Linked DNA regions of Struthio camelus. The protein of the gene in region 4 purifies or fractionates together with the protein of the main gene of each other region. This does not show direct contact. Links are inferred from orthologs where the notes say so. Each region holds a gene or a part of one and is shown on either strand. Other genes may lie near its edges.

What was found.
Region 1: the proteins of DCAF7 (region 4) and CCT8 purify together in Homo sapiens (affinity purification with mass spectrometry; 3 studies listed by BioGRID and IntAct, with this or other methods). This does not show direct contact. The link is inferred for Struthio camelus from reciprocal best matches to the Homo sapiens genes DCAF7 and CCT8.
Region 2: the proteins of DCAF7 (region 4) and SOWAHC purify together in Homo sapiens (affinity purification with mass spectrometry; 4 studies listed by BioGRID and IntAct, counting the BioPlex papers as one, with this or other methods). This does not show direct contact. The link is inferred for Struthio camelus from reciprocal best matches to the Homo sapiens genes DCAF7 and SOWAHC.
Region 3: the proteins of DCAF7 (region 4) and PFDN5 purify together in Homo sapiens (affinity purification with mass spectrometry; 3 studies listed by BioGRID and IntAct, with this or other methods). This does not show direct contact. The link is inferred for Struthio camelus from reciprocal best matches to the Homo sapiens genes DCAF7 and PFDN5.

The regions. Positions count from the first base shown.
Region 1 is NC_090942.1:118,857,814-118,865,829, forward strand, and holds the start of CCT8 (T-complex protein 1 subunit theta), read right to left. Parts: upstream 3,006-8,016; 5' UTR 2,762-3,005; coding exon 2,702-2,761; intron 1,301-2,701; coding exon 1,210-1,300; intron 611-1,209; coding exon 531-610; intron 1-530. UniProt on the Homo sapiens protein: Component of the chaperonin-containing T-complex (TRiC), a molecular chaperone complex that assists the folding of actin, tubulin and other proteins upon ATP hydrolysis.
Region 2 is NC_090942.1:155,922,967-155,929,842, reverse strand, and holds the start of SOWAHC (ankyrin repeat domain-containing protein SOWAHC), read right to left. Parts: upstream 3,016-6,876; 5' UTR 2,917-3,015; coding exon 1,396-2,916; 3' UTR 1-1,395. Other genes in the region: SEPTIN10 (septin-10), read left to right, coding at 3,453-3,557.
Region 3 is NC_090969.1:1,548,845-1,556,731, reverse strand, and holds PFDN5 (prefoldin subunit 5), read left to right. Parts: upstream 1-4,883; 5' UTR 4,884-4,985; coding exon 4,986-5,057; intron 5,058-5,835; coding exon 5,836-5,938; intron 5,939-6,377; coding exon 6,378-6,409; intron 6,410-6,875; coding exon 6,876-6,950; intron 6,951-7,078; coding exon 7,079-7,184; intron 7,185-7,280; coding exon 7,281-7,360; 3' UTR 7,361-7,609; downstream 7,610-7,887. Other genes in the region: ESPL1 (separin), read left to right, coding at 98-503, 639-797, 1,075-1,288, 1,463-1,647, 1,778-1,905, 1,988-2,110, 2,215-2,370, 2,506-2,676 and 5 more. UniProt on the Homo sapiens protein: Binds specifically to cytosolic chaperonin (c-CPN) and transfers target proteins to it. Binds to nascent polypeptide chain and promotes folding in an environment in which there are many competing pathways for nonnative proteins.
Region 4 is NC_090966.1:4,188,542-4,195,792, forward strand, and holds the start of DCAF7 (DDB1- and CUL4-associated factor 7), read left to right. Parts: upstream 1-4,249; 5' UTR 4,250-4,349; coding exon 4,350-4,487; intron 4,488-7,251. Other genes in the region: KCNH6 (potassium voltage-gated channel subfamily H member 6), read left to right, coding at 530-728, 1,111-1,398. UniProt on the Homo sapiens protein: Involved in craniofacial development. Acts upstream of the EDN1 pathway and is required for formation of the upper jaw equivalent, the palatoquadrate. The activity required for EDN1 pathway function differs between the first and second arches.

The DNA.
Region 1 (8,016 bases), on a different chromosome or scaffold from region 4:
AATATTTTTGTGCAGTGAGACAGGTATTATGATAGTAAGAGAAAAGTCAGGACAGGTCAGTTTCTCCATAGATCTTGTATCACTTAATTCACAAAAGGACGCTGCTACAGCTCCATGCCATACTACCATATACCATACTCCTCCTGTCAGCTTAGAACATGGTAGTTGAATATGGCAAGTACCAGTATAAGGCAATTAACAGCTACTTCATCCAGCGTTTTCAAAACCTTGTATTGTTTAGATATAGCCTTCTCTAAATCTAGGGTGGTTTGAGAGAATAAAGGAGGCAATTACTAAGCATCTGCAACTGCTTAGTGCTGCTTTACAGAAGAAGCCCGTTTCTCACCTGGAGATAGCCCAATTACTTTACACCCTCAAATCCAGTGAAAACTTAAATGATTTACAAAGTGACAGACATCATCAGGCAGGCTGACACAAATTTCCTTAACAACATTCAGAACTGTAGTGGCCCATGCTAAGAGAAATACTAGTTCAGCATGACCGAAATCTTCCAAAAAGAGAAAACTTACCTCCAGCTCTCTCAAGATAGTGGCAGCATCATTTGTAACAAAAAGCTTCTCCAGGTGGTTGATAACCATTTTGTTCATTCCTAAGAGAGAGGAAAACAAAAATCATTTGTAAGCTGTGTGTGGTTTTTACAGATACTGTTTCTTAAGCAGAAGATTTTAGGTATATTTTATGCATTAAAATGTTATAACTTTGTAGGAACACCTAAAAGATATTTAGGTTTGGGAGTGTTACATGAGGAAGAAATCATTTTCATGCCTGAATGAACAGTTCTCTCTTCAGAAATGCTCGTACGTTATGTAATTAAATAATATTGGGACTATCTTTTGTTTAGGTACGCTTGTCAGAACACGGTACGGTTATGTTCATTATAACTATCTACCTAGTTACTGTCTTTCCTTTAATTTTGTAGGTCTTCAGCAGAGCAGTAAGACAACAAAAAGGATACAGTAACTGTACAAAAACAGAGAAAAGTAAATATACTACAAAAAAAACTTAAGAGTTAACTAAACAAAATCTGTAATCTTTATATCCAAAAAAGCTGCATTTTGAACTCAGCAGTGAGTTCGATGTGTTTCTTCAGGAAACTAATAAACAGCTGCTTCTTCATCCAAGTAAGATTAGCCTTTGAACATTATCATTTTTCACCAAAACATTACAGTGACGTTTGGATTTATTTACCATTTGGTCCATAAGCTGTACGGGTGGTTTGAGCAAGTTCTTTGCATGCCTGGATGTTCCTGTAAACAGCTTCTTCAAGTCCTGAATAATGCTAAAAAGGAAAACGTTACCAGCTTGGAAAGGGGCAAGGTTTTGTGAACGTAGTGTTTCATCATATGCTTTTTATTCACACCTCTGCATTCCACAGAGATAAAACTGTGCTCTGTATTCAAACATACATGCATGACTTGAAAAATCACAATGATTCAGAAAATATCTGTGATTGCTCAGCTTCCATTTGGAAGCCTTTTGAAAAGGAGGGATGCCTAGAAGACCTTCAGAAGACCTACAAAGCTCGGAACACTCTTCTCTGTGCCCTCCTTCAGAGGGCACAGAAAAGTATAGGCAGGTATTCTGCAAATGCAAAGCATCTCAGGGGGCCAAGTGCTTCCTTGTTTTGTGAAATACAGCTCCTGTTGTTCTGCCCTTGTACCTTACATCAAAGGACCAGCATTGGCGCTATTCTGCTTCCCTGCCCCGACCCCCACCCCTCTGAAATATGCTACTCCCTGTCTCCAGAAAAGATCTTGGAAAACAAATATAGGGCTTCCTGAGTTGCCTAATCTCCCCTTCCATGCGTTTAAACGTCTGCAGTCGTAAGTTTCTTTCCCCTCCTCCCGAAAAAATAAGTTTTGGGTGTTTTTTCTTTTTCTACCAGCTTTCTCAAACTAGGCTTCTGCTCTATCAGGCACGGTCCTTGATGACTGTCAAAATCTGTGTTTATTAAATTCGTTCAGTATTAAGTGTAACTATACAGAAAACACTTGGTTATTTCGCAGTACCTGCTTAGAGCTAAAGCAACAGAAAACAATCAAAGAATATATACGGTAAGCAGTCAGGCCACTTCGGAACTGCTCCAGCTATAGGGCCCGGCTGCACTGCACTGCCCACCGTCCGCAAACACTCTCCGTAACAAAACGCCCTCCCGCACTCATTCTCAAAACGAAGGCAGGCCGCGAGCGCTTCGCCGGGAAGAGTCAGCGCCGCTGGCGAGCCGAGAGTAGGGGCGGCCAGGAAGCGGCCCCGGGCGCCCCACGCGTGAGGCGGGAGGGCGCGGACGGAGCGGCCCCGCGGGCGGCGAGAGGCAGCGCCCGCGCCACCCCGGGCACGGAGGGCCCCCCCCCCCACCGCGGGCGAGGCGGCCTCGGCGAAGGGGGCGATCACGTCCAGTCCCCCGTTCCCCACCCCCCCCCGCCCCGGGCAGAGCCTTCTGGAAGCCCGCGTGCGCCAGGCACCGCCCCCCTGCCCCCTTCTCCCTCCAGGCCCCGCGCAGAGCGGCGCAGCGGGGCCGGGGCCGGCAGCGGCAAGGCGGGCAGCGGCAGGCCGCCCCGCCCGCCGAGCGCGTGGGCCGCCAGGCCCGGATGGCCTTCCAGAAGCTTCCCCGCGCCACCTCACCGCCGCGAAAGGGGTGCCGGGGCGGGCGGCAGCAGCGTCCGCCCGGCGCCGCTCTCACCTTCGCCCCTTCCTTGAGCATCTGGGCGAAGCCCGGGGCCTTGGGGACGTGCAGCGCCATCTCGCACCGCTTAACGCTCCGCTCCGTTCCGCTCCGGCCGGCCACCCACCACCGCGCGCCAGGGACGACGGGAGAGCGGGCCGCCGTGCGCGTGCGCGCGCACGCGCGCGAGGGGGGGGGAAGTGGGGCGGGGCGGGGCGGGGCGGGGCGTGGTGGCGCGCGGGTAGCCGTTGGGTCCCCTAACGGCCGCGGCAGGCGTTGGCAGGCGGCGGCCGGTTGCCGCTTTGCCGGGTGGAGGCCTTCGGGCGTGCGGACGCTGTGGCGGAGCCCGTGCCTCTCGGCCGGGAGGGCCTCCTCCAATCCGGGTCTCGGAAACCAGCAGCTAGTCCGAGCCCTTTCATTCCTCACGGTGCAGCCTAAGCAAGTCAGAAGCCCGCTTCGCTGAAAGCCTTACGCTCAGATAAGACCTCTGAGTTTCCAAGAGAGGATATAGCATTATGGAAGGGGTAACGTTTAGATACTTCTATATTATGAGATGGCGGGCTTTTCCTATGGCTTTGTATTTTGCTTTATGTAAATGAAACCAAACAGGATGGCACATCTGACTTCTACAGTGTTTAAACTGACTTACACTTATGTCATTTTATTTAAAAAGAAAAGACCTCCAAATCATACCTTTCTGAAGCAGGTCAGATACACTTTCTTCATTCATTGTACTGTTGGTACACTCACTACCTCTGTTTATAAAAGGCCCCGAGTAATGGTGTTTTTTCCCTAAGGAACATTGTCCATGTAGTGAAGTGATAGTACTGTTGTGGTGGTGGCGGCTCGTGTTGGCTCCTTCAGAACCTTTCTCTCACTGTCTAGTTTAGCATCTTGCCTCTTGGGCGTGTCTCTGAGTACATTTAGTGATACACAGTCCAGAAAGGGAGTTAAGCGCCATCATAACCACTGATGGCAATAGCCAGTCATAAAACTTTGCACACTCCAATCTAGTATTTGGCCTAATGCATACGTGACTTGTTTCAAAAGGGCAACAAATGTTCTGATAGGAAGAGCGAGTGCAGTCAGCTCTCCATTATCCAGGGTAATGCCAAGTAATTATGTACTACAGGACAAGCTGAAGAGTAGTTTGGAGGCACACCTCAACATCTCTACAGGCAGCTTAGGTCCAAGCAAGATTAGCTGTAGTCTAGCGCTGGAATAGCTCTTTACGTTGCTTCCTGATGCCTTTATTTCTGAGGCAGGGGAGCTGCTTCTGTAGGGAGTTGCTTTAGGTTCGATAAACCTTTTGGTTCTGTGGCACACAAAATCAAATACGCTTTTTCAAGATGAGAGCTTCCAAAGCTCTAGAAGTGATACCGCTGTGCTTAGGCCACGCTATATCTGAGCCTGTAACCCAACAGAGACTGAGTTGCTCCACATCTGCAGCATTGATAGACCACCTAAAGATCAAGGAACTGCTTGATAAGCATGTATGTTATTGATTAAGCGACCTCCAGAGGAAACACTCGATTTAGTTTTGCATCCTATAATGCTTAGAATTCAGCCAGCTTTAACCTGTAACATATCATGGCAGTGTGAAAAAAAAGTGATGTTGGAAAGCAAACTATACATAAAGCACCCAGGATTATACATTGACAAATCTGTACGCAGTTCTGCCACAAGCACACAGGGGCAGATGACATTTGAAGCAGAGGTGGGAACCTCTTCAGCCCTGACTACTGTGACTACAAAGTCTGGGCACTGCAAAAGGAGGTGCTCGGGCTTGGGATAAGGGGCATAACACCGTTTATTACTCTGCACCACAGTGCAGATGAGGAACAAGAAAATGCCTGTCCTATTCTAGAGCCAAGGAGTAGTTTCTTGTAAAGCAAGTTCTGGAATCTGTTCTTAGCCATGGAGCTCAGAGAATGGACTCCTAAGTCGATGCAGAAGACTTTTCATAGTCAGGAGCATGGGGCCCGGGTGCTACATCAGTAACCGAGTGCATTCTGGTTACAGGCATTCATTGTAGGGGAGAGAGAGGAAACATGGTTCAGTGGTTAAACTGCTGATCATTACCTGCAGGATGGGTTTCAGTTCTCTCCTTTATGACTAATAGCCTGCATGATGTCAGGCAAGTTTCTAGGGATTCATCAACACTTAAAAGTTTTGTCATTTTTTTGCCATACATTTCTCATTCTCTGTGCTGTTACTGGATGTAGCTGCCTCATTATTGTGGAACTTACATGAGTACATTTTTTTTTCCAGATAGGAAACAGAATGGTTAAGTGATAAAATAGTTCTTAGAAATTTTGCCAACTTCAGCCAGGAAGTCCATGGCTCTTTCCCTTTAGGATCCTATCTACACACGACATCATTTGTAGGTGGAATGCCAAACTGGGCTTCAGCTGTGATGCCCAAAATAGTATTGTTTTGTATTAAAAAAAATTCTGAGCTCGTTCGTATACACGGGTGTTATTTTCCTGACTTGGTTTTCACCAAGCCAAAAAACAGAAGAATCAAGGCAATGGTATGTAGGTTGTTAAAGAAATAGGCTTTTACTGTTAAAAAACATTTCTCAATTTTGGGTCCGTTATAATGTCTCTGTAACAAGAGAGGCTGAGTATTTATCTTTTAAGAATTTCTGAAATCTGTTTTTAGATTTTTCAGGGAAAGCTTCTCCAAAGCACTCATTTTCAGTACCTTAGTACTGAAAGTAGTACAGGCCATAGTCAGTAGCTTAGTAAATGTTAGCTTACCAATTAAACCCAACGTTATTACTGCTTGGCAGTGTGGAATTTTAACCTTGTGAGCATTCATCCTTACTCAAAAGGTGACCATCCCTTTCTAATTCATCAGTAATTTAAATGATGTTTTTCCATTAGTCTCTCAAGTGATTATATATGGTGAATGTAGCTTGTCTAGTGTTGGAACTAGAGCAAAAAACAAAGTCAGCTCATGCAAGCCAATAATAGCATTGCAGCATTGCATGATGTTTCTTCTAGGTCATCAGTGACTTTAGCACCACTAAAGTAAGCAACTTGAGGGTGAAAGACTTATTCAGCGCTTCAGTTATCCAGTTCACTCCAATTTAGACATCTTTTGTTTGGAGGAGTTAAATGACCCGGTGTTTGTGTAACTCATAATATTGCAGATTCATAAAGGAAGTGAGTGGTTTTCAATAATTCCACACTCCAGTTCCAGTATTGTAAGCCAGGACAGCTTCCAGAAAAGCAGTCCCATCTCTGGCTGCTCATTCTCACCTCTGCATTCCCCTTCCTCTCCCCTCAGATCCTCTTGTGCTAAACAGCTGCGCACCCATACAGTAAACCAGATTAGGGAATTGATCTTACATTAAAACTGAGCCAAAAGAGGCCTGGTCACCTTTCAGCTTCCTCACCGCATGGCTGTGCAAAGACTTGTGCCGGCACAAGGACGGATGAAGAGAGGCAGGGAAGCAACCTCTTTCTGTGGCAGTGCTGTCTTATGCTATCTTAAAATATTTTTGGAACTGCCTGTATATACAATACCTTCAGTGAAGCTTATGCCAGCTACGTTTTTTTTAAGCCAGAAGCTCACTGAAGCTAGAGTGTATATGTTTGTCTGTGCATGATTATAAATACATGCATACATACATATCTATATGAATATATCACTAAAAACATCTCTGTTTCTGTTCTAATCAGGAGCTATTTGGGAGTGGATGTCTAATCATGACTTTGTCTTGGCCTTGATCTTTTTTTAGCTACTCATCTACTCTGTTTATATTCTGTACAGATATTGCCATGCTAAAGGACCATCCAAAGGTCAGAGGTTTGGCTGTTGGCAGTTGGCTGCCCTTTCACCAGCCAAAATCTATTACTGTACAAATGGAAATCCCCAGCTTATCTTTAGGCACATGTTTGTCAAATTCTGGGATGGTAAAATTTAAACAATTTTGAGACGTTTATGCAGAGGATAGAATGTTAAAGGGCTTAGTTTCTAGTTGGTTATTTAGCAGTGGGAACCTGAGCAATTGAAAAATAAGAGATAAAACGTGTCCGGTGAAAGTATAATATCTAACTGTGCTCGTCAAACAATACTGGTATTTGGCCAATGAAAAATGTGAGTGGCATATTGAGAGAAGCCTGAGGATCACACCTGGTTTGCATAGAATGCTATTAATACCAGAAACACAGAAGTGTGAACCTCATAGGGTTCACAGGGCTTAGAATTCAAGATGAACATAAATCTCTTAGTAACAGCAGAAGTAGTTGCATCTGCCTGTCCCAAATTGTGCTTATCTCCCTTGTGACATAATGAGAAGGAGAAATCTAGTCAACCTATGAGTACTTCTTAGGTCATTGGTCCACAGCGCCTGGCTAAAATGTTGCTCATGTCCTGGACTTAGCTTGCTTGATAGTGCAGATGATTCCAAGCTAGACAGGAACGCTAGATTTTGATACTATGTGTGTATTCCTACCTCAGTACATGTATTTTCTGCTATAGCTAATCCAGTTAGCTTAGGTCACTGGAAAGCACTTCAGGAGTTTTTAGAGGAGTATTACTCTTGCATGGGATCAATAGATGAAATCGTTTGAAAATGTCGACTTAAATTAAAACAGTATTGATAGTCTCCAGCTGATCTACTTCACAAGTGCCAACAGTTCAGAGGTTACTCTGAACAGACAAGATTGGAAAGGATGATAGGCTCGGAATGGAAGTGATGCCTTTTTGCTTTTGTGTTGCAGGTCCAATCAAGATACAAAATCATGCTGTGACAACAGGGCAATACATGCCAAAATACAATTGAAGCGCATCTGTGTCGTGAGAGAAAGCAAAATTATTGAGATCTTTCTGGTTTCATCTCATAAGAAGGCAAGCTTAACTGGGTAAAAATGACAATATGTCTTCTAGATTGTGGGTTCTGTTTTGCATGAGGAGTTCAAATTCCATGGTCAGATAAGGCCTAGAAAAACATCTCTCTTTAGTATCCAGTGTGCTCCTATGGGAACTTTTTCCAGTGGCGTACACAGCAGCCTGGAAATGCAAGCCAGCTGCTGTTATAAATTTGGATATTCTTATTGGAGTTGGGAAGAATTTATCAGGACTTCATGGATGTGTGGAAACTCAGAGAACATCAAGCTGAGGAGTGGGGAAAATGTTCAGACACTTTAGGCTGCACTTGCAAAAGAAAGGAAATACTGGAATAGGATGGCATGCTGGGGACTGAATAGCTAAAGACTTCTGCAGAAATGGCACCAAGCTGAAGTCATAAGGAGCAAAGGAAATGACAGCTATCTGCAGTCTCCTGGAAGTAAGCTGCTACTCACCTGATTAGGATTTCTTTC
Region 2 (6,876 bases), on a different chromosome or scaffold from region 4:
AATTGCTAATTGCTATCTTTAAAGCAGAGAAGCAAGATTCAGGTCTGGTGAAATCTTTAGCAGACAGATAGGCTCATCAATCAGATTAAGACTTACTAGGCTGTTAAACAGCAGATCAAAGCCCTGGTGGTTCCTTCTCTAGAAATACAGGTTTAAAAGAACTCAAACACTGTTGCCATCATTAACTAGAACGTATCTTATACTGCTTTTGCTCCGCAACCTAACAGACAGCGATAGAGTTTCAGAGTTCTACTTATGTACCTTGCCCCTCCCGCTCCCCGTCTTTTGGGTTTTTCTGCACAAAGCTGTAGGAATTGGAACACAAGTTGCTAGCGAACACAGGCCTGCGCTATTGCATTACAGGACCTTATTAGAGCTTCATGAAGGTTTCATGCAATAGCTTCTGGGCTCTTCACTAAAACAGAATGACTTTCACACGTACCACATACAATGCAATTTTCTGGTTTTAAATGCAGTGAGCTATACAAACAACATTAGCAAGAACTGACCAGACTTCAGTAACTCAAACTGTGCTAGGTCTGGCACTTGAGAATTCACAGTGATCAAAATAAAATTGCTTTGCCTACGACAAAACATAAGATACGAAATATATAAAAAGATTCTTTGCTCTACATTATCTTGTATTAGTATTCCAACAGTGATAAGCAAGTTCAGTAGTACCTCAGACAGCAGAGACTTCTGCACGTTTAACTCCATTCATTGTTTGCAGTGCTTTTTTTTTTTTTTTTTTTTTTAATGTATGTGATGTCAAATTAGGCAATTTTCAATGCATAAAGTCAATACAGGTTCAAGTCTTTGCTGGACTGGAGCTAAGACTCCGACAGGAAACCATTTATCTACAGTCTCCTTTTGGGTACCCAACTCTGCACTGTGCCAGGTGGTATTGCTGTTAGAAAGAGACTTAAAGTATACTTGCATACTACTGAGGTGTTCTTAAATAGCCAGCTGTTCACAAGTAGTTTATAGTACCAGCTGATAACGTAAGAACAGAGCATTTGCATTTTTCTTTCCCCCACTCAACTCGCTAATCCTAGATTTACTAACACTGGCTTCTGATGGAGAAGTTTGCCCTTAGAGAGAAAGCAGCACAGCTTTTAAACACCCCAGCGTTTCTCAATGCACCCACTGCCCCTTGTTTCAGCACCAAGGCCATAATCGAAGCAGCTGCTTTCTTGGGCGTTGTGAGCCACCACAGCCCTGCCGGCCTGTTGAACTCACTGAAACCCCAGAGTTAAAGCAAGAGTCTCAGGACCTATCTCCTGAGAGCACATAAGTCTAGAGGAGCACCCGCTCGTACCTGCCCCACCTCCCACACTACACCTTAGGGTGCTCTGGCCCCTGAGCCCACCTCCCACACCTCCGGCTCCTCCTGCCTTATCCAAAAACGTTGGACTTCGGCCTGAGCTTGAATGACACTTTCGGGGACTTCTCCTCCTGCTCTTCCTCCTCGGCGTCACCGCGGAAGGAGGGCGTGTTGTGGATGATCTGAGTCCTGAAGCGGATCTTATTAAGCCGAGGCTTCATCCGCCCACTGCCGGAGGCTTTCCTGGTCATCTCCTTGCCCTTGCCCGACACCGCCGCCCCTTCGGTGCCCTCGGCCTCCTCCCCTGTGCTGTGGTGGTGGTGGTGATGGTGGTGGGAGAGCCGGTAGCTCATGAGGTTGGAGGGTAACACCTTGGAGAGCCTCCAGCGGCCGCTCCCGTTGCCAGCCGCCCCTTCCTCCTCTTCCTCGTCCTCCTCGTCCAGGGCCCCCACGAGGCTCCGCATGTCCCCCGGGGTGCCCTGGCGCAGGTACTGGGCGGCCTTGCGCCCGCTGTAGTCGCGGATGTCCACGTCGGCGTCGTAGGCGCCCACCAGGAGCTTCACCACCTCGGTGCGGCCGTGCATGGCGGCGAGGTGCAGCGCCGTGTACCCGCCGCTGGTGCGGGCGTTGATGTCCACGGGCAGCCGGTGCCGCTGGGCGAAGTTGACCAGCATGGCCAGCAGCTCCTGCCGCCCGTGCTTGGCGGCCCAGTGCAGCACCGTGAAGCCGGTGACGAAGTCCCGCTTGCAGAGCAGCGCCGGCTCGCAGCTCAGCAGCCCTTCCAGGCTCTCCCACCGCCCGTCCGAGGCCGAGAGCATCCAGGCGTGCTCCAGCGGGTCCAGCGCCACCGCGCCCGCGCCGCCGCCCCCTCCCTCCTCCTCGGCCGACGACGAGGCCACCGAGGCGCTGTCCGACTCGCCGCCGCGGGCCCCCCGCGGCCCGCCGCGCTTCAGCTGCGGCGAGCCGCCCCGCGCCAGCTCCCGCAGGCTCCGGCAGCCGCCCCGCGGCGTGGCCGCGCCCGGGCACCCCCCCGCCTCCGCCGCCGCCGCCGCCTCCTCCTCGGCCGGCGGCCGCCCCGGGCCCGCCACCGCCGCCGCCGCTACCGCCGCCGCCTCCTCGCCGCCGCGCCCGGCCGGCGGCCCCCGCCGCGAGCTCCTTCGCCGCCCGCCGCCCGCCGCCGGCCGGGTCGCCTCGCCCCGCGGCGCCGCCGGCTGAGGGCGGCTGCCGGCATCGCCGCCCGGCGGCGGCGGCGGCGGCTCCTCAGCGGGGGAGGGCGGCGGGCTCGGCCGCTCCGCGCTGCCCCCCGCCGCCGCCGCCGCCGCCGCCTCCGCGGGGGTCACGGCGCCGGCGGCGGGCTCCGGCGGGCAGTACCGGCGGCGGAGCTGCACGTACTTGACGCCGGTGCCGGGCTCCTGGCGCACGGTGGCCACGGCGTTGACGAGCTCCTTGAAGCGGTGGCGGGCGGCGGCGCGGCGGCCGGGCTCCGGGGGGCTGAGCCAGCCCCGGAAATGCTCCAGCAGCTCCGCGTTGCGCGCCCGCCCGCCCCGCGCCGCCAGGAACTGCACCACCGACTCTTGGCGCAGCTCCGCCATCACCGCCCCATGCCGCCGCCGCCGCCGGGGCTCAGGGCGCCGCGGAGTTGTTGCTGCTGCTGCCGCTGCTGCCGCCGCCCGGGCTCCTCCCCGCCGCCTCCTCCTCACGGCGGTGCCGACATGCCCCGTCCCCGCGGCTCAATCACGGCCGCGGCGGCAGCGGGACGCGCCCCGCCCGTTCGGCGAGGACCCGGCGCCCCCGTGCGGCGAGGGGTGGGGTGGGGGGGGGGGACGCGGCCGCACGTCCCGCCCCGCCCCCTCGCGGCGGGAGATCGTTTGAGTCAGGCGGCGCCGGCGCCGACCCTTCCCTCCTCCCCCCCCCCCCGCGCCCCCAAACCGCGTGAGACCGAAGCGGCCCCGCCCGTTCGGGAGTCGCCCGCCCGTTCCGTTAGCCCCGCCCCTCCGTCCCGCCCCCTCCCCGTTGGCCCCGCCCCCGACACCTCCTCTTGGCCCCGCCCCGGCCGGCGCCGCCGTTCCCGCGCTGGCAGGGGAGCCGCCGCGGCCGCGCTGCCCTGCCCCGGGGAAGGCCCCGCTCGATGTCAGCTCGCCCCGGGCTTCCCCCCCACCCGCGCACCTCCTTGTCGCCCCCCCGCCCGTTCCCTCCCGGGGCTATGGCCGCCTCCCACGTCGCTCGGCCGCCGGTAAGTTGCCTCCGTGGTATGAAAAGGCGGAGGGGGCGCAGCGGAGAACTTTCTCGTCCGTTAACCGGCTGCCCGTCCCCACCCCTCCCCCCTCGCGCCCCCCTCAGGGCGCGCGACGCCGGCAGCTCCCGCCGCCCTCGGCCCGGGCTTCCCTCTGCGCCGGGCTGCCGCCCCCCGCCAAGGGGTCACGGGCCGCCCCGCGCCGCTGCTCGTCCCTGCCCAGCGGCCCAGCTCCCTGGCAGAAACAAATTGGGGGTGGGGGAGGGGGAAAGGGCGTCTAAGGGTAACGCCACCCGCGCCCGCTTCAGAAAGTTGGGTGCAGTGATGTAGGGTGCAGGTAGGTGACGGCTTAGGGCCTGAGCAGGGTCGCTTGTTCTGGGTTTTCTCCGCGCTGGTAGTGCCGCTCAGCTATGGCGGAGCGCGGCTTTTAGCTATCGGCTCTTACGCCTTGACGACTCGGGACTAATCAGTACACTAGCTCAGATCACTCTTTCTTTGAACATGAGGAAGAAAAAAAGATTAGTTTAGGACTTAACTAAGTTTTGTGCCGTGCTGTGCACCTTGCTAATGTGAAGAACAGAAGGGTTCCAGGAATAACATGGAGTGTGGGAATTTGTTTTCTTCAGCTGAAAAATCTCCACTCTGGCTGTATAGCTAGCTATTTTTGCATGTCTGGTAATGGGAAGATAGATAAAGTACCTGTCTCTGGTGATTCTTGGCTTGTTCCTGCCCCTCTGCTGCTCCCTCAGTTCTAACATTAAGGCCATATGTGGAGATGGCCAGTGAACTGCCAACATGAAAAACAACAATTACGCTTGTAAAGTTGTCTTTTGTTGAAGTAATTTTCATCTGGGTCAGTTCTGTGGTGTGGTTCAGTATGGCACTGCTCAGGGAGCAGTGTGGGAACAGAAACAAAAGACGGGAACAGGGATTGCTTTTAGTTCTGTTGCTGAAAGAAATAATTGTTCAGTTATTGTTAGAGCCTTCGTAGGGCTGAACCATGTTCCGGCTAACCTTGGGCAGAAGAATGAAAGGACTTCATTCATGTTCTCCCACTTGCTCAAAACTTCACTGCTGAGCAGAGATTGTTTTCTGTCAGAGCTCTGTTTTGCAGACGCTCTTTTTATGAATCCTTTGTAGTTGCTGTATGATGTAGTGTAATGCATTAGCTTCATATAAGCTTTCTCTCTCTCCATACATATATATAGGTAGGAAGTGGAGAGTCAGTATTTCACAGGCTAGCTCTCGCAGGAGGCAGGAAAAATATGAAAAGAAAAAGTCTTAAAAGCTGAAGTATAAGAAACGTCACAAAATGTTTTTACTGATTTATGTTTGCATGAAGAGAGTGGAAGAGATGCAATAAATCAACAAAAGTGAGTGAGAGTGGAACTGAGGGTCCGCTACACTTAACACATCTGGCAAGGGAAGTGAGAGTAGCGTGCAGATGAAGAGCTTTACAGAGGACAGTACTACAGAAATAGAGATAAAACGTGGTTCTGTATTGGAGGAGGCTGGATTTGTAATATGTTTATAAGTAATGAAGAGTGACATCAAATAATATTTCCTAGTTTAAGAAATGCTGTATAATTGTTAAAGTGTTTCTTTACTGTATTCTGGGAAGGATTTTCTTTTCAGTTGTTTCTAAAGTGAAATGTAAAATCACTTTCAGAATGCAGCCGACCTGATTTGATAAATCTGTTTACAATTGGACCACACAAAGTCTGAGATGCAAGCATTTAGTACTTCTGATTTTTGAAGATTTGACTTCTGGGAGAGTTCTGGCAGCCACTGCCCCTGTACAACAAGCATACAATGCTTGTTATTGACTGATTAAAAAGGAGAAAAAAATCCTTGCTGTAGTCAAAGAGGCATTCTGGTAGCAACTGCCATGCTAGCATCAGACACCAGCATTGCTTTCTCGTTCAGACAAGGAAAGTCCACATAAGGGGGTTGGTGTGGTCTAGAGCATTGCCTCTTGTGGAGAAGTCTAAATTACTACTTTCTATGAAACAGACTGCTAAAGCTGCAAGAATCCAAGCTGAGCCAGCACTGACCAAGAAGTACAAATCTTCTGAAAGTAACAGCAATTATGCTATCTGGGCTGATACCCATGCAAGTATTTCTCTGTGCCAAGGTCATCTCAGAGGGCAGCATCAGATTTCACTTTCTTTATTTGCATTATCATTTTCTCTTTTCCTTCCTTGAAATTACTCAGGTCAAGAGAGGCCTTTCTCTGTAGACCCCAAACCGCGCACGTTTTCCTTCAGTGTTAGCAATGGCTGATCAGTCCCATCTAAACCAGCATGACTGAATGTTTTGTTCTGTATTTGACTTCTGTGTATTGTTTTTTATTTTATAGAATACACTCATAAGTATTAATTCCATGTAACTGGTTCTATATTTCCATTCTTACCCTGCATCTTCATGGACTTTTATTTCTTCGTGTTCTTTCTACCTCATTCTCCTATATTTTCTATTCCCTTTCTTCTGTGTTATTTTGCCAAGATTTCCTTTCTGTTCCCTCTACTCATCCCCTTCTGTTCTCTCTCTCTCTCATACGTATATCTATATAGATAGGTCTCAATGGAATTCAGACATATACTCATGCATCTGTGTTTAATATTTTGACCACTTCAAAAGGGAAAATATTTTCCTGTTCACTTCCAGAACCTGTTTAGTCTCCTACTTTGCTCACGCGTTAAGGGTAACATTTACATTTACTGGATTAAATGCCACTTTGGTTATCTGGAAAGTAGTTGATTGTAGCAGGAGGAATGCAGAATATTGCAATTTGCTATTGCAAAGTTAAAATAGATTTTCTCTTTTAACAAATGTCTATACCTGTTCATTACAGTTGAAATCAGTGCTCTGAAAGAGTCCCCTTTGGAGCGCTCATGCGTATGTTATATGTTGTCTTCTGCCCCTGTGGCTCGTTCTCAGACATCCTTCAAACAGCCTGTGTGCAGCCTACGTAGCATTGTAGGCTTGGCAGGGCCTTCACTGGCTGGGTATGCAGAGGAACACCTACTTTTTTTTCCCCTTAAGCTCCAGAGGGCACGTTTCATCTATCTCTACAAGCAGACTTGCAAGCTAATTATTTGCCTGGACTGCAAGTCTAGTTCTACAGGAGCCTGAAGTAGACGGACTTGTGTAGTCTGAGGCCTGGCTTTTGCTGTGGAATTGCCCAGCGTTGTACCATTTTTGTCTGAAACGTGGCAAATTTGAAAGATGATTATTTTTGTTTTGTTTTTGAAAGAAAAAATAATTTTTAAACGTTACTGGTGTCTCAAGCAATGATTTTTCTTTGCATACTCCACTC
Region 3 (7,887 bases), on a different chromosome or scaffold from region 4:
TTGATGGGAGCTCAGTCTCTGCTCTGGGGACAGCACTGAAAAGGTGTCGGCAGGCTGGGGAGCAAGGCTGTAGCCCTGACGTCTCCTTCTGGTCTAGGTAACGTTCAGTGATGACAGTGACGTGGAGGATCCCAAACTGGGGGTGACCCCAGCAGCTGGCAAAACCCCAGGCCCCAGCCACAAGACTCCCCAGCCAACAGGCCGCACCCGGAGAGCCCTGCGCCCCAAAGCCACGGCTGCTGACACAGAGGGGTCCCAGACGAGCTCGTCGGAGGACAGCTCCCGGAGCAGCAATGCCCAGCCCCGGAGAGCGCGAGCGGGCTCCCGCAGAGCTGGGGGCACAGAGGAGAAAAGAGAGCGAACAACCCGCAGGGCTCCTGGCAGGAGAGCAGAGGAGGAGCGGGAACTTCTGAGGACCATTGAGGAAGAGGAGAAGGTGGAAGAAGAGCTTGAGATTAGCTTTGAGGTTTTGCGGGCCTCTGAGGAAGAAGAGGGAGTCCCAGGTGAGCAAGGCTGCCTGGGAGTGGGGGGGATAATCAGCAGGGAGCCTTCAAGCTACCCCAGCAGCTGTCTGGAGGTGGAGATATCCAAGGCCCTGGGCTGTCCCTGCCACCAGGCCCCTCTTGCTCTCCCTTAAGGCAGGAGACGGCAGCCCCAGCGTGGGCAGGAGAGCGCAGACGGGGAGCGTGAGGTCCTGCGGCGAGACGCCAGTGAGGACATCCTGGCCATACGGAGGCTTGGCAGCGGGGGCCCCCTGCACCTGGAGGCCCTCTCCTCCTCCCTGTCCACGGCTGGCGGTGAGCGACCGATGCTGAGGGGCTGCTCTGTGGGCTGTTGCTGTGCAGGGCACTGGTTTTGGGCTGGGGGCTCGTGGCTGTGCTGGGGAATCCACGTTTGTCCCCTCTCCTACCAGCTCCTCGGGCAGGCGGCTCTGGAAACCTCTGCTCTAGCCCTTCTCCACCTCCTCTTACAATTTCCCATTGCTTTGAGCTTTGCCAAAGGGTTCAGGTGCTCTGCTCTCTGTCAGGAGCTCACCTCTGCCTTGGGGGGGATTTGCTGCTTTGCCCCTTCCAGATGTCTCTTCCCTGGACAAAGCCTGTGAATTCCTGAAAGGTGCTTTCAACTGCATCAGCCACTGCCCTCCCAGTGCCCTCTACAGCCAAGTCTGCCAGCTCCTGGCCCTGTCCCTGGGCAAGCAGGACCCCATCTCCACTGCCTACCTGGTGTCGGAGTCTGTCTCGGTCACCACCCGCCATCAGCTGCTCAGCACGGTCCACAGGAAACTTCAGTAAGTCCCTCCACCCTCCCTGGCTGGCTTTGTGGAACAAAACCCCCTCGGCCTCCCCTGCTTTTAACCTTAGAGCACTGCTGAGCAGGAGGGGGGTCTCTGCCAAAAACTTTGGAGCCCCAGCAAAGGTAATTTCAAAGTGGATTTATTCCCTGACTGTCTTTCCCTCTCCAGCAAAGCCAAGAAGTCAGCAGCAGACGTAGCCGAGCAGCTCCACGGGCTCTCCTTGCGGGAGGAGAGCGCTGCTGTGCGCAGCCACCACCTCGCTCAGCTCCAAGACCTCTTCGAGTTCAGCTCCACGGGGATGGGGCCTCAGGAGCAGGATGGCTTCAGGGAGCAGCTGGAGAACATCCCCAGTGGTAAGGGCTCATCCAAAAGCAAGGGCTGGGAAGCTCACTGCTCTGTGTCGGTCTGGGGCTGAGTCCTGGAGGGCTGTGTGGCCTTGGGACTGTCCCCTGGCTGTTCCTGAGGTCTGGGTCTGGTTCCCAGGGGTGACCGTGTGCGTGCTGACCCTGGTGAGCCTCCAGCCTGCCTCCGTGGGAGACATGCTGCTGCTCACACGGCTGGAGAAGGGCAGCGCTCCTGTGACCATCCGGATCCCGACTGCGCTCACCAAGGTGAGGGCAGGAAAGGGAGAGGGGACAAGCCCAGCTGCAGGGTGAGTTTGGGGCTGGGATCACTGTTCCCTTCCTCTTCCAGGCCCCGCTGAGCTCGGTGCTGAGCGAGTTCGATGCCATTCAGAAGGAGCAGAAGGAATCCAGCAACTGCACGGACAAGAGGGACTGGTGGCTGTGTCGCTCGGAGCTGGACCAGAGAATGAAGGTTGGGGAGAGACTTCCCTCACCCTGATCTGCCTGGTGGCACCTGGCACAGCTTTTGAAGAGGGCTGCCATGCCCAGACCCCCCGTGACTCTGGCCTCTTGCAGAACCTCATCGAAACCCTGGAGATGCAGGTGTTGGGCTGTTGGAAGGGGGCCCTGCTCCCTGCCAGCCAGGAGCCCAGCCTGGCAGAGGAGGCTTCCAGCTTGTGCAACCAGCTCCAGAAATGTGGTTGGGAGGACGCAGATGCAGCGCTCCTCAAGGTTTGTGTTGGAGATCCTAGTTGGCCTGGGCTGGGGCAGCAGTTTGGGCAGCCAAACAGCCTGGCATCACGTGCCAGCCTACAGCATGGTGCTGTCAATGTTTATGCATTTCTGCTCCCCTCTTCCTTCCTGTAGGTTGTGCTGAACTCCTCTCCCCTCCTCACTGCCCAAGATTTGCAGTCCCTGGCCTTTGGGCTCTGCCCAGCTCAGCCCTACACGGCCCAGCTCCTCTTGCAGGAAGCCCTGGAGAAGCGGAGAGCTTGCGCCAGGCAGGCCAGCGGCTCCCTTGTCCTGGTGCTGGATAAGGTGAGTCTCTGCTCCTGCCTGTACTCTGCGTGGCTGCTTGCTGCCTTTTGTTCACCCCTTCCTCTTCCTCCCAGCACCTGCAGAAGCTACCCTGGGAGAGCATGGCGTGTCTGAAGGCTGTGCCCGTAACCAGGCTCCCTTCCCTGCGATTCCTGCTTGGCTATTCCCTGGCGCAGAAGGTGAGAGGGCCAGGGACTGTGCACCCCGGGCCGGGGCTCTGCGCACACTGGCTCTGCAGCACCGCAGGGTTTGGCACCCTGCGGGTTCTGCTCCGGGCTGGGGCTGACTTGTCTCGTGTCCCCACTCTGGCAGCGGGCAGGATCTGTGCTGAGCCGCGGCGTGAACCCCAGCAGCACTTTCTACATCCTCAACCCGCACAACAACCTGCCGGGCACCGAGGAGCGTTTCCGGGGCTGGTTTGAGAGGTGAGCGTGTCCCCTGCCCCGGGCAGGGATCCTGCAGCCTGGGGTGCCCCAGGGGCTCTCTGCTCTCCGCCGTCCTCACCAGGTCTCTCCCGCAGCGAGCCCGGCTGGAGCGGTGTGACAGGAGCCATCCCGAGCCAGGAGCAGATGCAGACGGCGCTCTCGGAGCGTGATCTCTACATGTGAGCCTTGGGGATGGCGTGGGCTCCTTTGAGACAGCCCAGGGCCCTCTTTAAGCCTGATGGGGGAGGTCGGGGAGGCTTCACCAGATCTCTCACCTGGACCTTCTCCCTGCAGCTACGCCGGGCACGGAGCAGGCGCCCGCTTCCTGGACGGGCAGTCCATCGCCAGGCTGGAGTGCCGCGCCGTGGCCCTGCTCTTCGGCTGCAGCAGCGCCGCCCTGGCCGTGCGCGGCAGCCTGGAGGGATCTGGCATCGTTCTCAAGTACATCATGGCTGGGTGGTGAGTGGCGAGGAGATGCGGAAAGCAGGGGCGAGGCTTGGGGAAGCTCAGCTTGTCCCTTTGCTACAAGGGCCGTCTCGTGCAGCTGGGTGTCTCTGCCCCTGCAGCAGTCCTGTTTTCCCCCCACCCTGCGCATCTGCACCCCAAAGGGGCTGACATGACCCCTTGCTCCTTTCCAGCCCCCTCGTCCTGGGCAACCTGTGGGACGTGACGGACCGCGACATCGACCGCTACGCCGAGGCTCTGCTCCAGGGCTGGCTGAAGGCGGGCTCGGGCGCCCCGCTCCTGCACTCTGTCGCCCAGGCCCGCCAGGCTCCCAAACTCAAGTACCTCATCGGCGCTGCCCCCGTTGCCTACGGCTTGCCTGTGTGCCTGCAGTGAGGGCTCAGCGCTGCCTCTGCCACTGCCTCTTGGCCCCAGCCCTCCTCCCCTCCCCTCTCTCCCTGTGCCCCCCCCCCAATGATGATCAGGTGCTGCTGAGGCTGTTTTAAACTTGCGGTGTTTGCACAGGGGGCCAGCTGGGGTGGGGTGTTACATGTTTAACTGTTCTTGGATCTTAACTTATTTTAAAGTGGTTTTAGATGACACAGTCGCTGTATGTTGAGACAATAAAGCTGGTGCAGTTGGACCTGACCCTTGTGTGCTGGCTAAGGATGGTGCTCAGGCTCAGGGTGCCTGCCACCCTGGGCTGCCCTGTGGGGCTCTGCCCCCTTCCCTCTGCCTCTGTCCCCTCTCCCCGGGCCCCAGCCAGCTCTCCCAGGTAAGCAGGAGCCCGTTGCACTGCAGCTCTGAGCGATCGCCCACCCCATGGGCTGTGTTGTCCCTTGCGGGGCATGCTCTGCCCTCCGAGGGTGACCTCAAAGCACCTTCTTGGGGTCCTGCTGCAGCTGCACCCCTCGTTGTCCTCCTTGGGGCCTCTGCAGTTGGGATTTTCCCTCCTCCCTTGTTTGGGGGGGGGGGGGAACACCCCTCCTAGCTGGGTGAGGGACAGAGGGAACAACCCTGGCTGCTGCAGCCCCTGCCTCTTCCTCGCACCTTGGAAGCCCCAGTGGAGGGTGGGGGGCAGTAAACCCCCTTTTCCCTGGGTGGGAGCAGTGGGTGGGGGTCCTGCAATAGAGCCTATCCTTATTTGGGGGGGGAACACCCCTGGGTCCCCCCTGTCTTGGGGGGGGCAACCTGGCTCCTTCCTTCCCTGCTTTTGGGGGGGGGGAATGACCCCCCCCCGGCTGCCCCCTGTCCTGCTTTGGGGGGGGGGGGGAGGAAATGATCCCCTCCGGCTACCCCCTGCCCTGGGGCTGTTGCCCCCGCCGGCCGCCAGGGGGCGCCGCGGCACCAGCGAGAGGCGGCAGCTGGCGCTAGAGCGTCGCGGCGGGCGGCACCAGCGAGACGGGGCGACGTGCGCTAGAGCGTCGCGGGCGGCCCAAGATGGCGCAGCAGGTGAATGTGGCGGAGCTGTCGCTGCCGCAGCTGGAGATGCTCAAGAGCCAGCTCGACCAGGTGGGCCGCGCCGGGAGCCGGGCTCCGCGGCTGGAGGGGCTGCTGGGGGCGGGGGACAGGGCTGGGGGAGCGCCGGGCCGGTGGAGAGGCCGAAATGGGGGTGAGGCCTGATGTGGCTGTGGGGACTGGAGGGGGCGGCGAGAGGGTGCTGGGCTGTGGGGACTGGGGGGGTCGCATGTGGGACCAGACTGGTCTAGGCTGGAGGTCCTGGGGGGTGACTTATGGGACCAGACTGAGTCAGCCTGGGGGGACAGGGGGACGTTAAGGTGGGGCTAGGGTGTGGGGACTGGGGGGAGATATGTGGGACCAGACTGGGCCAGGCTGTGGGGACTGCAGGGGCGGGGGTGGTGGTGATGGTGGTGGTGTATGGGACCAAATAGGGTCAGGCTGGACTGGGATATGGGGACTGGGTGACTGGAGAGGTGACACGTGGGACCAGACTGGGCCGAGCTGTGGGAACTGGGGGTTATCAAAGTGGGGACTACTGGGCCGGGCTGGACCAGGCTGGGGGGTGACATGGTGGGGCTGGACTGGGTGGTCTGGGGGGGTGACATGTGGGACTGGACTGGGCTAGGCTGTGGGGGTGGCAGGGTAAGGTTAGACTGTGCCACAGGTCTGCTGTGGGGGGGAGCTGGGTGGCCTAGGGGTGATGACCAGACCAGGTGACGTGCCCCAGCCCTGTCCTGCCGTACATGGCACTCGATTAGGGCCTCTTCTGCTCTCTCAGCACCTCTTTGGTGGTAAGGGGACGCTCACAGGCTCACGCTCTCTCGCCTAGGAGGTGGAGTTCCTCTCGTCCTCTATTGCCCAGCTCAAAGTGGTGCAGACCAAGTACGTGGAAGCCAAGGACTGCCTCAATGTACTCAACAAAAGCAACGAAGGTGAGTGAGATACCTTCACCCTCGGCCTGCGTGGCCCTGCCAGGTCCCTGGGGCACTTACTGGGATGCCTGAGCAGCAACTGGAGAGGCTGGTGTTGTCCTGCCTGGCCTTGCCAGTCCTGGCTGCTGCCTAGGTGAGACACATCACTCTGTGCTTTGAGTGACGACTGAGAGCCCAGGCTCTGCGCTTTCTTCTGCCCTGCGTCAGTTTATGCCCTTGGACCAGGTTCTTGTTTCCGTGGTGCCTCCTTCCCTGCTAGGAGGTTGGGCGTTAAGCAGCATCCCAGGCACGCGGGGTGCACGGAGGGGCTAGATGTGGTTGTAACGTCGTACCTAGCTGTTTGGCGCTGTGTAGCTGCTCTGTGTGCCCCTCGCCCTGCTGTGGGCAATCAGCTGGTGCATCCGAGCGCTCAAACACGTTTCTGCTTTGTTTCCTGTAGGAAAGGACCTGCTGGTCCCGCTCACCAGCTCTGTATCCTTTGCCAGCCCTGCAGTCCTCTGAAGTTAACTCTTCTTTGCTAGCGGGGACGCGGGAATGTCAACTGCTAGGGCCGAGGGGCTTGGGGGACGTTTTACCTGGCTGTGCCCACTTCAGGAGGGACATGGCCTCTCCTGGTTGCTCCTTCCCTGCCTCCTGGGAAGGTGCTGGCCAGTCCTCGTTCCTCTCTGAGCAAGGACCCCAGGATGTTTCCTTTCCCTCTGGCCAGCGGCTGAGCTGGGGTGTTTAGGGCTGACAGATTTTTGCCCCTGTTGCTCTTGACACGAGCTCTGCTTCTTCATGCTGGGCCTGTGCTGCTCGGGTCGTGCGTTGGTCCGTGGTGGCCACTGTGCCGAGGACGCCTGGCCTCGGTTCCCAGCTCTGCTGGGCTGAGGTGCTTTGCTCCCAGAGCTGCCTAGTTGTCTTGGTTCCCTGCTTTCCCTTGACCCCCCCCCGCCAGATGTATGTCCCTGGGAAGCTCTCAGATGTCGAGCACGTGCTGATAGATGTAGGAACAGGCTACTACGTGGAGAAGGTAAGGGGTGCGTGGAGTGGCCCAGAAGCAGCTGCGTTTCTGCAGCAGATCATAAACAGAATTGTCCGTGGCCGAAGGGTAGCAGGAACTTTGTGCCTAGAGCTCTCTGTTATCCTTTATTCCCTCAGACAGCAGATGATGCCCGAGACTTTTTCAAGCGGAAGATTGACTTCCTGACCAAACAGATGGAGAAGATCCAGCCTGCGCTGCAGGAGAAACATGCCATGAAGCAGGGTAAGGGCCCATCTCCCACACCCCGCTGCAGCTCCTCGCTCTGGGCAGGCCCCCGAGCAGCTCCCCTCACTGCCTGGGTGCCTTGTCTTCCTGCAGCCGTGGTGGAAATGATGAGCCAGAAGATCCAGCAGCTCACGGCCCTGGGGGCCGCGCAGGGCGTGACAACAAAGGCGTAGCCTTCGGCCTCAGGGGCTGCCTTCATCAGCATCGCTGCTGGGACGAGAGCAGAGCTGCTGAAGAAAGCCGCTGGGGCCCAGACCACCTTGTCCCCCCTTCCCCAACACTCCTCTCCCTGCTCGGCAGGGCTCTGCTGTTGACTCTAAACACGTGCGGTGCCTGGAAGCAAAGCACCAGCCAAACCCTTCCCTTTTTGTAAGCAGTGCGTTGCTGCCAGTGTATGGAATAAATTAGAGATGCAGGGAACAGCTCCGGGCGGCATCTGGTGCTTCTCGAACCGGGAAGGTTTCAAGGGCAGGAATTCAGCCCTCTGCAGCCAGCGGGAGGTAGGATTGGGCAGGGGCGGAGAGGCACGCAAAGAGGGGGAAAAACAACCTGGGACTCCTCCCAAAGTGGAGTCATGCCAGGCGAAACAGGGGGCCTGCTCCAGCCCGAAAGATCACGCGATACAGACCGGCCTTATCTGAGGAAATCATGCTCTTCCCGATCCCGCAGCTCTCGCAGCGGGGATTCCCAAGATCCTCCG
Region 4 (7,251 bases):
GGGAGATTGCACTCCTTGGGGAAGTGGTAAGAGCGCTTTGCAAATATAGCAGCTGCTTGAACTGCAAGTCTTGGCCTGACTGTGGCCTAGCACCTTATCCATTGCTGTCCCACCACCTCTGGGCACAGCTGCTTTGCTGCTGCCTCCAGTCTTGATGCAATCACAGACATGAAACCACCCAGAGGCTCATGACCTGAGCCCTTTGCAGGGCTCCTCTTCCTGTTGCAAAGAGCTGCAAATCTCCTCTTGCTTGAGCAAACGAGGCCTGTGCAGATCATTGCCCTCTAAACAAGAAAAGGGACACATTTCCGGATGAGAAGGAAGCACCACCCACACCAGAGATGCAGGTTTAAAGGCCCCGGGCAGCACCCACGCTGCTGCCTCTCAGGTCTTGCTCTCCTGCACAGGGGTTTTACCCACATCATCCAAATGCCACTTACCTCCTCGGGGTGTGGAGCAGCCAAATCTGTCTGTTCGGTGCTGCACCAGTGAGATGCACTGTCTTAACGCCGGGTTGCTCTGTCCCCAGGCTGGAGTCCAGGATGTCGTCAGACATTAATATAATCCTCCAGCTCCTGCAGCGCCAGCTGTCCCAAGTGCCACCAGCGTACAGCCCCATCTCGCCGTCCTCCCACAACCTGGCCATGTACGGCATAGTCCCGCGGAGCCTGGAGCCGCTCACCCCCTGCGCACCCCTAGAGGAAGAGGAGCGGACAGCCCCAGGGCAGGTAAGGCCACCACTCCTAGCTCAGCACCAGCGGAGCCTTCTTCCACCTCCAGTAGACAGGTCCACGCAGTGCCAGTGTTTCTCTCCAGCCTTCCTATACACAAAGCGCAGCCAGGCTCAAGGGCCCAAGCAAAGCCCAGGGGTCTTGAAAAAGCAGCACATCTACCTGGAGATGCTTCTGCACAATGCACTGCTGGTTTCAGGGGCATCTCCAGCATGAGCAGGCTGCCCAGTCAATGGGGAGGGGAGTGGGTTCCTCTGCTCTGAGGTCCCCTCAGGGAAAAAAGATATTTTGGGGTTTGGAGCCTCATGGGGTGAGGAGAGACTGGGGCTACATCGTTTTGCTTTTGCCATAACCGACTTGATTCCTCCTTTCCCCCCAGAGCCCGAGCTACACAGAGGTAGATAAGTTCCACTTGAAATCCAGGGAGTCCTTGTCAAGCGGAATACACCTGACTGTGGCATCTGACGAAACCATGACGATCTACTCCGAGCAGGAGCACCATTCCCCAATTCTCCCGCACCCAGAGCCTCCTCACCAAAGGGCACCAAATACCCAGGGACTCTGCCGGGGCTCTCGCTTCCCTTCCCTTCCTGAGCACTTGGAGGCATCTTCAGAGCACCAGGACATTCAGAGACACCTCTCCGACCCTGTGCTTCCTGGAAGTTAGAGCTGTGGCGGCTGCAAAGCGAGTCAAGAGGAACCTCAACTGCGAACTCATTCAGTTGATGTTGACGTTGACTGCCAGGGTAAGATGGAGGACAATGCCTTTGGCTCAGGGGTATAATTTGTAGCTGTCTTCTGCCACCGTGAAAGGAAGCATAGAGTGGCTGGCTTCCAAGATCAACATTTTCCAGTGGATCCCATAGAGTAGATTTCATTTGCACATTATAGCGAACCCAGAACAGTTCTTTCCTGTGGCCATCAACAAGCTGGGTAAGCCAAACAGCACCCACCTCCTCTTCCTTGCCAAGGCTTCCTCCCAAGAATAGTGCAAGCCAAATGAGCCACAGCAACCGGAGGAGGGCAAATCCACAGAGCTTAGCTGCGAGGCCACTTTGCTGTCAGCTCTTTGGAGCAGGGACCATTGTGTTGGCGCTGGGCTTAGCCCAGCAGAGCCTGAAGGCACTGGCTTTACAGAAAGGGTAGTCACCAGAGGAGGAGGAGAACTGCACAGTGCAGTACTGGGGGGAGCTACAGGGGTGAAGCCCAGGACAAGGACAGAGGACAGAAGCCATTCCTGTCCTACCTGACTGCCACTGAGAAACTAAGGGCCGACAACCCCCACCACTCCAGCACGCTTCAGCACGAGTCCTAGGGCACTGACTTCTCCAGCAAGGCTGGTTGCACTTTGCAAACCCCAACATGCGTATCCCACAACTCCCCAGATGAATCCAACTGTTCACTGGCCTGGGCATAAAGCACAAAACTCAAAAGCACAATCCCAGAAAGCCGAAACGCCCCACACATCTCATGTCCAGCCTTTCCTCCTAGCTTTTCTCTTTTGATAAAAGTTTGATAGATGCTTCCTCTTCCCTAGACCTTTCCCAGCAGACTCCTGCAGCATCCCTTATAGGAGAAGCCCACTTAGCACTGCCACCTTGCCGTTCGGTTAGACGCTGTAACAGTCCTAGGCCGCCTGCTCAAGTAATATATTGAGCTCCCTTTGAGAGTAGTAAAACTGTGAGCATCTCTTTCTCCGGAGTTTTAGTGTACACTTTGCTAATAAAGATGTTTTTGGCACCTAATGTGGATTGCAGCGTGTTTGTTGGGAGCATCAGCAAATTCATCCCTGGCAGTAGCTTCAGGGTCCAGGTCCTCGTCTGTAAAGACCCTTGAGAAGATCGTGGTCAAACCCCAGATGCTTCTGCCAGGGACTATGGTGCTAACGGAGCCCATGAGCAGATCTTACAGATCAAGGATGAGGTCTGCTGGGTGTTTGCTGAACAATTTCTTCCCAACAGGATGCAGTTTGGTCTCAGCAGCTCTTTGCAAAAGCTTTTTTACAAGACCAGCCAGCTACTATTCCCCTGCATAGGTGAAACGATCTAGCAAACACACCTCAGGTAGTGATTACGCCAAGAGTCCTTAGAGCAAGCGGGATGTCAGATGACCATACTGATACCAGAACCCGCTCTACATCCCTTGCTAAAGGAGACACAGCTCTGGGTCCTGTCCAAACTCAATGGCTCCATAAGGAGAGCTGAGCCCAGGTTCACCCATAACTGATCCCTTCTGCTCCCAGCTGAGCCCTCCTGCCTTGGAGAGCCGGGGACTTCAGAGGGCGCAGGGCAGGCACAGCACAGGGACCAGAGCGGCTCAGACTGGGGTGCCCTGAGAGGGGGGCTCCGGGGAGCACCAGCACTGGGCTCGCATGCTCCAAAAATGCCAGGAGCACCCTCCTCCTCCAGGCAGGCCCTCGCGAGGCACTGCCAGCCCTCCCCTGCCCTCCAGCCCATCTGGCTCCACACGGCTGAGTGGGGGGCTGCCCTCAGGCCCTGGCTCCACGCCCAGCTCCAGCAAAGCAGCTATTTATACCCGGCGCCAGCTCAGGTTTCCGCTCCCCATGGCGGGGACGCCGCATCCCCGCACCGTGCCGCCTCTCCTGCTCAGCCCAGAGAGCTGGGGAGCCCCAAGGCCCTCAAGGGACCTGCATGAGCACCTCAGGAGCAACTGTACCCGCATCGGGTCCCCGGGGCAGCCGCGACAGAGCCAAATAGCTGCCCGGCCTGGGCTGCCACGGCTCCTCGGCCCGCAGGCCCAGGGGCTCACGCCAGGCGCGCTGGGCCGCAGCCTGTCCCCGTCCAGCCAGGAGCTGCCTGGGAAGCCCGCACAGGCTCCTTCCCCAGGTAAGGCTCAGGGAATTGCTCCAAGGCTGTTAAGTGCTACCAACAATAAAATCCGATAATTAAGCTTCGGTTAATTATAGATAAACGCAACCCTGTCAGGCACTCGGCGGAGGCGGGGCTCGAACCGTTAACCCCAGCGCGCGCCTGAAGTGCTCCACCGCCTCCAACTCACGTGACTGACACCTCTTCCTGCCAATCCGTTATCAGTAAGGTCTCAAGACCCCGCCTCATGCCACTGCGACCCCTAGCAGCCAATGGGATTTCAAGAACGAGTATGGCCTCCGTCTGGGGTGGGATCAAACGCAACGGTAGGTTACCTCACTCAAGGGGGCTAGCGTCCGTTTGGAATGATGGGTAAAACGACCAATAGAAAGCCAAAGAGGGCCAAACGGACGGGAGAATTACCCAATAGCTGCTCGAGAAGCTAAGTGACAGGCCAGGCAGCCAAGCCGTGTGCAAGGGGCGGGGCTCCCCGCGTGGCTTCCGCTCCCGTTGTGTGAGGGACCGAATCCCAAACGGCCTCCGCGCCGCTCTCGCCGTCGCCGGGTTTGGAGCCGGGCCCGGGGGCGCGGTGCCGTGCTGCGGCCTCGCCCCGCTCGCTGCCGCCTCGCCTCGCCCGGCCCGGCCCGGCCCGGCCCGGCCCGGCCCGCGCTGCGCCGCGCCCGCTGCCGCCTCGTCCGGCCCCGCTGCCCTCCGGCGGGCCCCGCGGCCCAGCCCGGGGCTCCCCCGCTTCTCCTCCTCCTCCGGGGCCCGCGGCCACCGCTGCCTCGCCATGTCGCTACACGGGAAGCGGAAGGAGATCTACAAATACGAGGCGCCCTGGACCGTGTACGCCATGAACTGGAGCGTCCGGCCGGACAAGCGGTTCCGCCTGGCGCTGGGCAGCTTCGTGGAGGAGTATAACAACAAGGTGGGCGGCGCCGGGGCAGGAGCGCGGCCCGCTCCCTTCCCCCCCACCCCCGGGACAGCGGGGCCCCCGCACCCGGCACGGCCCCACCGGGGGTACCCTGAGGGGGGGGGCTGCGCGGCGCCGTCAGCCCCTCGGCGGGCTGCAGCAGCGCGGGGGGCCGGGCCGCTCAGGCTGCTGCAGGCCGAGGGGCTGGGGCCGGGGAGAGCAGCGCGGGGGCTGCTCCTCGGCGAGGAAGAGCTCCTAGGTACAGCGTACAGGGCTTCTGCGCAGGGCGCTGCAAAGTTTTACGGCAGGGCTCGAGTTTGTGCTTGTGCGGGCTGCGTAAGGCTTTGCTGGAAGCGTTATGCCCTACTTGTCTTTTAGTGCTGTGGAGGACTTGTGCGCAGTAACTTTCTTTCTTTTTTTTTAATATATAAACTCTTTTTGTTGATCCTTTAGTTCCTTGCCCCCTCTCTGGGGGCAAGAATGTCCTGAGGCATAAGATTATATCCTCACTATTTCCCTGCCAGGTATAAGCAAGGGACCTAACACTGATAGTACAAGCCATGTCATCACCTCTTCAAATACATGCCCAGTCCTTTTCTGGACAGACTCTAGTGTGCTGAACTGATGCAGTGAATGCATACAGTTGGAGGAGAAATAAAGAAACAGCCATACCTATAGAGCGTAATAAACTTGTGTGAAACTGAAGAGTTTGTAAGTACAACTTTGTACGTAGCCTGTGTGTCTTGCAGCTTTGCCAAGCTGTTTAATAGGATTGCGGAAAATGATATTGGAAAAGTTGGTGTTGGGAATGGGGCTTTGTGCAAGGCTGTAATGAGATGAGGTGACCGTACGGCTGGAGTGGACATCTCTTGCAGTAGTTAGCTTACTGCTTTTGCAGTACTCTAAGCAGTGATACTTGTACCGAGCGCTTTGTATCGTAGTCCGATTACTGGCTGAACGTGAGTTGTCTCCTCATGTGTGTGAGTGTTGTTGTGGTTCTGGGGAAAGGCAGGTCACTGGTCTTGAAAACTTTCTATTTGTTTAGAGACTAACTTTAAAATGCTTTGTGTAGCATGTACTGTGAGAACCTAAAATAACAAATGCAAGCAATATTTTGTTTAGAAGTGGTAGAGTTCATTAATAAGCAGGTATAGTTCTGTGCTGTCTGCGGACAGGTAACAGAGTGAAGCTTTATGGTGCAGAAGGGTGATTTATGTGACCTTTAACTCCTTAAGTCTGGACCGTTCCCTGGGGTTGCCCTAGATTAAGACAGGATCTGCTTTTCAGTCCAGACTTTTCAAGTGAAAAGCAGTTGAGTCAACCAGTGGCTTTTCCGCCCTTTACATTCACAGTTGTTGCAGACGGAAATTGTGTAGGACTATGTAAATTACTGCTGTCTGTAAACATTTCCCCTGGATTCTTTTGACCTCTGTGCTTCAGGGATAACTATTATCCTGTTGACTTCAGTCCCTGTAAAGTGCTGTGCACTATATAATTGTATGAGAATGAGATGCCTGTCTGGATGCTGCTGCTATAGAAACAAAGAAGATGCGTGGTTAAAAATTAAGCCTGTACAATAAATCTAGTGTAATATGACCTTCACTTTGCTGAGATGTTTTGCTATGTCTGATGCTACAGAGTGTGTATTTTTTTTTTTTTTTTGCAGTTGTGAAGTGCTTTCAAAGGTGCCCTCCAAATAGGAGGGTCATTGACAGAGAGAGCTGTCTTAGGTAAATGTAAGTGTTGTTATTGCTTAGAGTATTGTTATTGTCTCCTTTACTTGGAAGACCAGAAGGAGCTTGCTTGGGAGTAGTTTTTCAGTTGCACTGTTTTTTTGGTGACTTACTGTGACTTTTGCCACTCCTCTGAATTCTGTGGAGGACACTGAAATATTTAGGAAGGAAATGACTTCGTACTCTGGATTTTGAACTGCTGGACAGATGCTGTCTGGTCATGTCAGGGACGTGCTAGCTGCAGACTCTTTCAGCTCCAGCTTCTGTCTGTTCATGTGAGTGGTACAACCAAAGGAACAACAGGAAAGAACTGAAGTTGTCCTGTTTATGTAGTTGATACCATTGTGCTGCAAAAGATCTAGAGCTTTTGATTTTATATCCGAAGTTCAGGGATAAGCAGCTGTTTAAGACTTTCAAGGAACTTCCATTTCATTTCATCTGACTCAGCAGTCATAATCTTAGGAGGCTTCTTAGAAATGTTGTTTGGAGCTCCTATTCCTGATGTTGCAGTGTTTTGTTTGAGAAAAATTGGCTTCCTTCCTTCCCCTTAATATGTTAAAACATCAGTCTGGAAAAGCAATTCTAGCTTTCTAAAAATCTAACCCAACAGCTGAAAATACCACTTCCTTATTAATCTATTGTTTTATTTTGAAAAGGGGGTGGGGGGGGTTAAAAAGTTCTGACGCACCGAGTGTTCACTGCAGCAGAAGTGCCTGCTGTGGGGTAGTGTAGTAAATGAGAGGACAGATTCTCTAAGTTTCTATTTCTGTAATAATTACCAGAGCTTGAAGTACCCGATGGGTTACAAATATAAAATGGCTGTTTATGCCTCTGTTTTGTGGGGAATTCAAATACATTAACTGCCAAACCCTGATTTATTGCTATCTCCAATTCCCAGACTCTCTTAACACTGTCAACCCTCTCCCCACCACTAACGAGCTGTGTAGTATACCAGAAAGCTAGTTACCAACAAATGTGTGAACCCCAAGGGAGTTTTGTTTCAGCTCGTATACCTTTGCTGATGAAATCACTGGCATGTGAAGAGA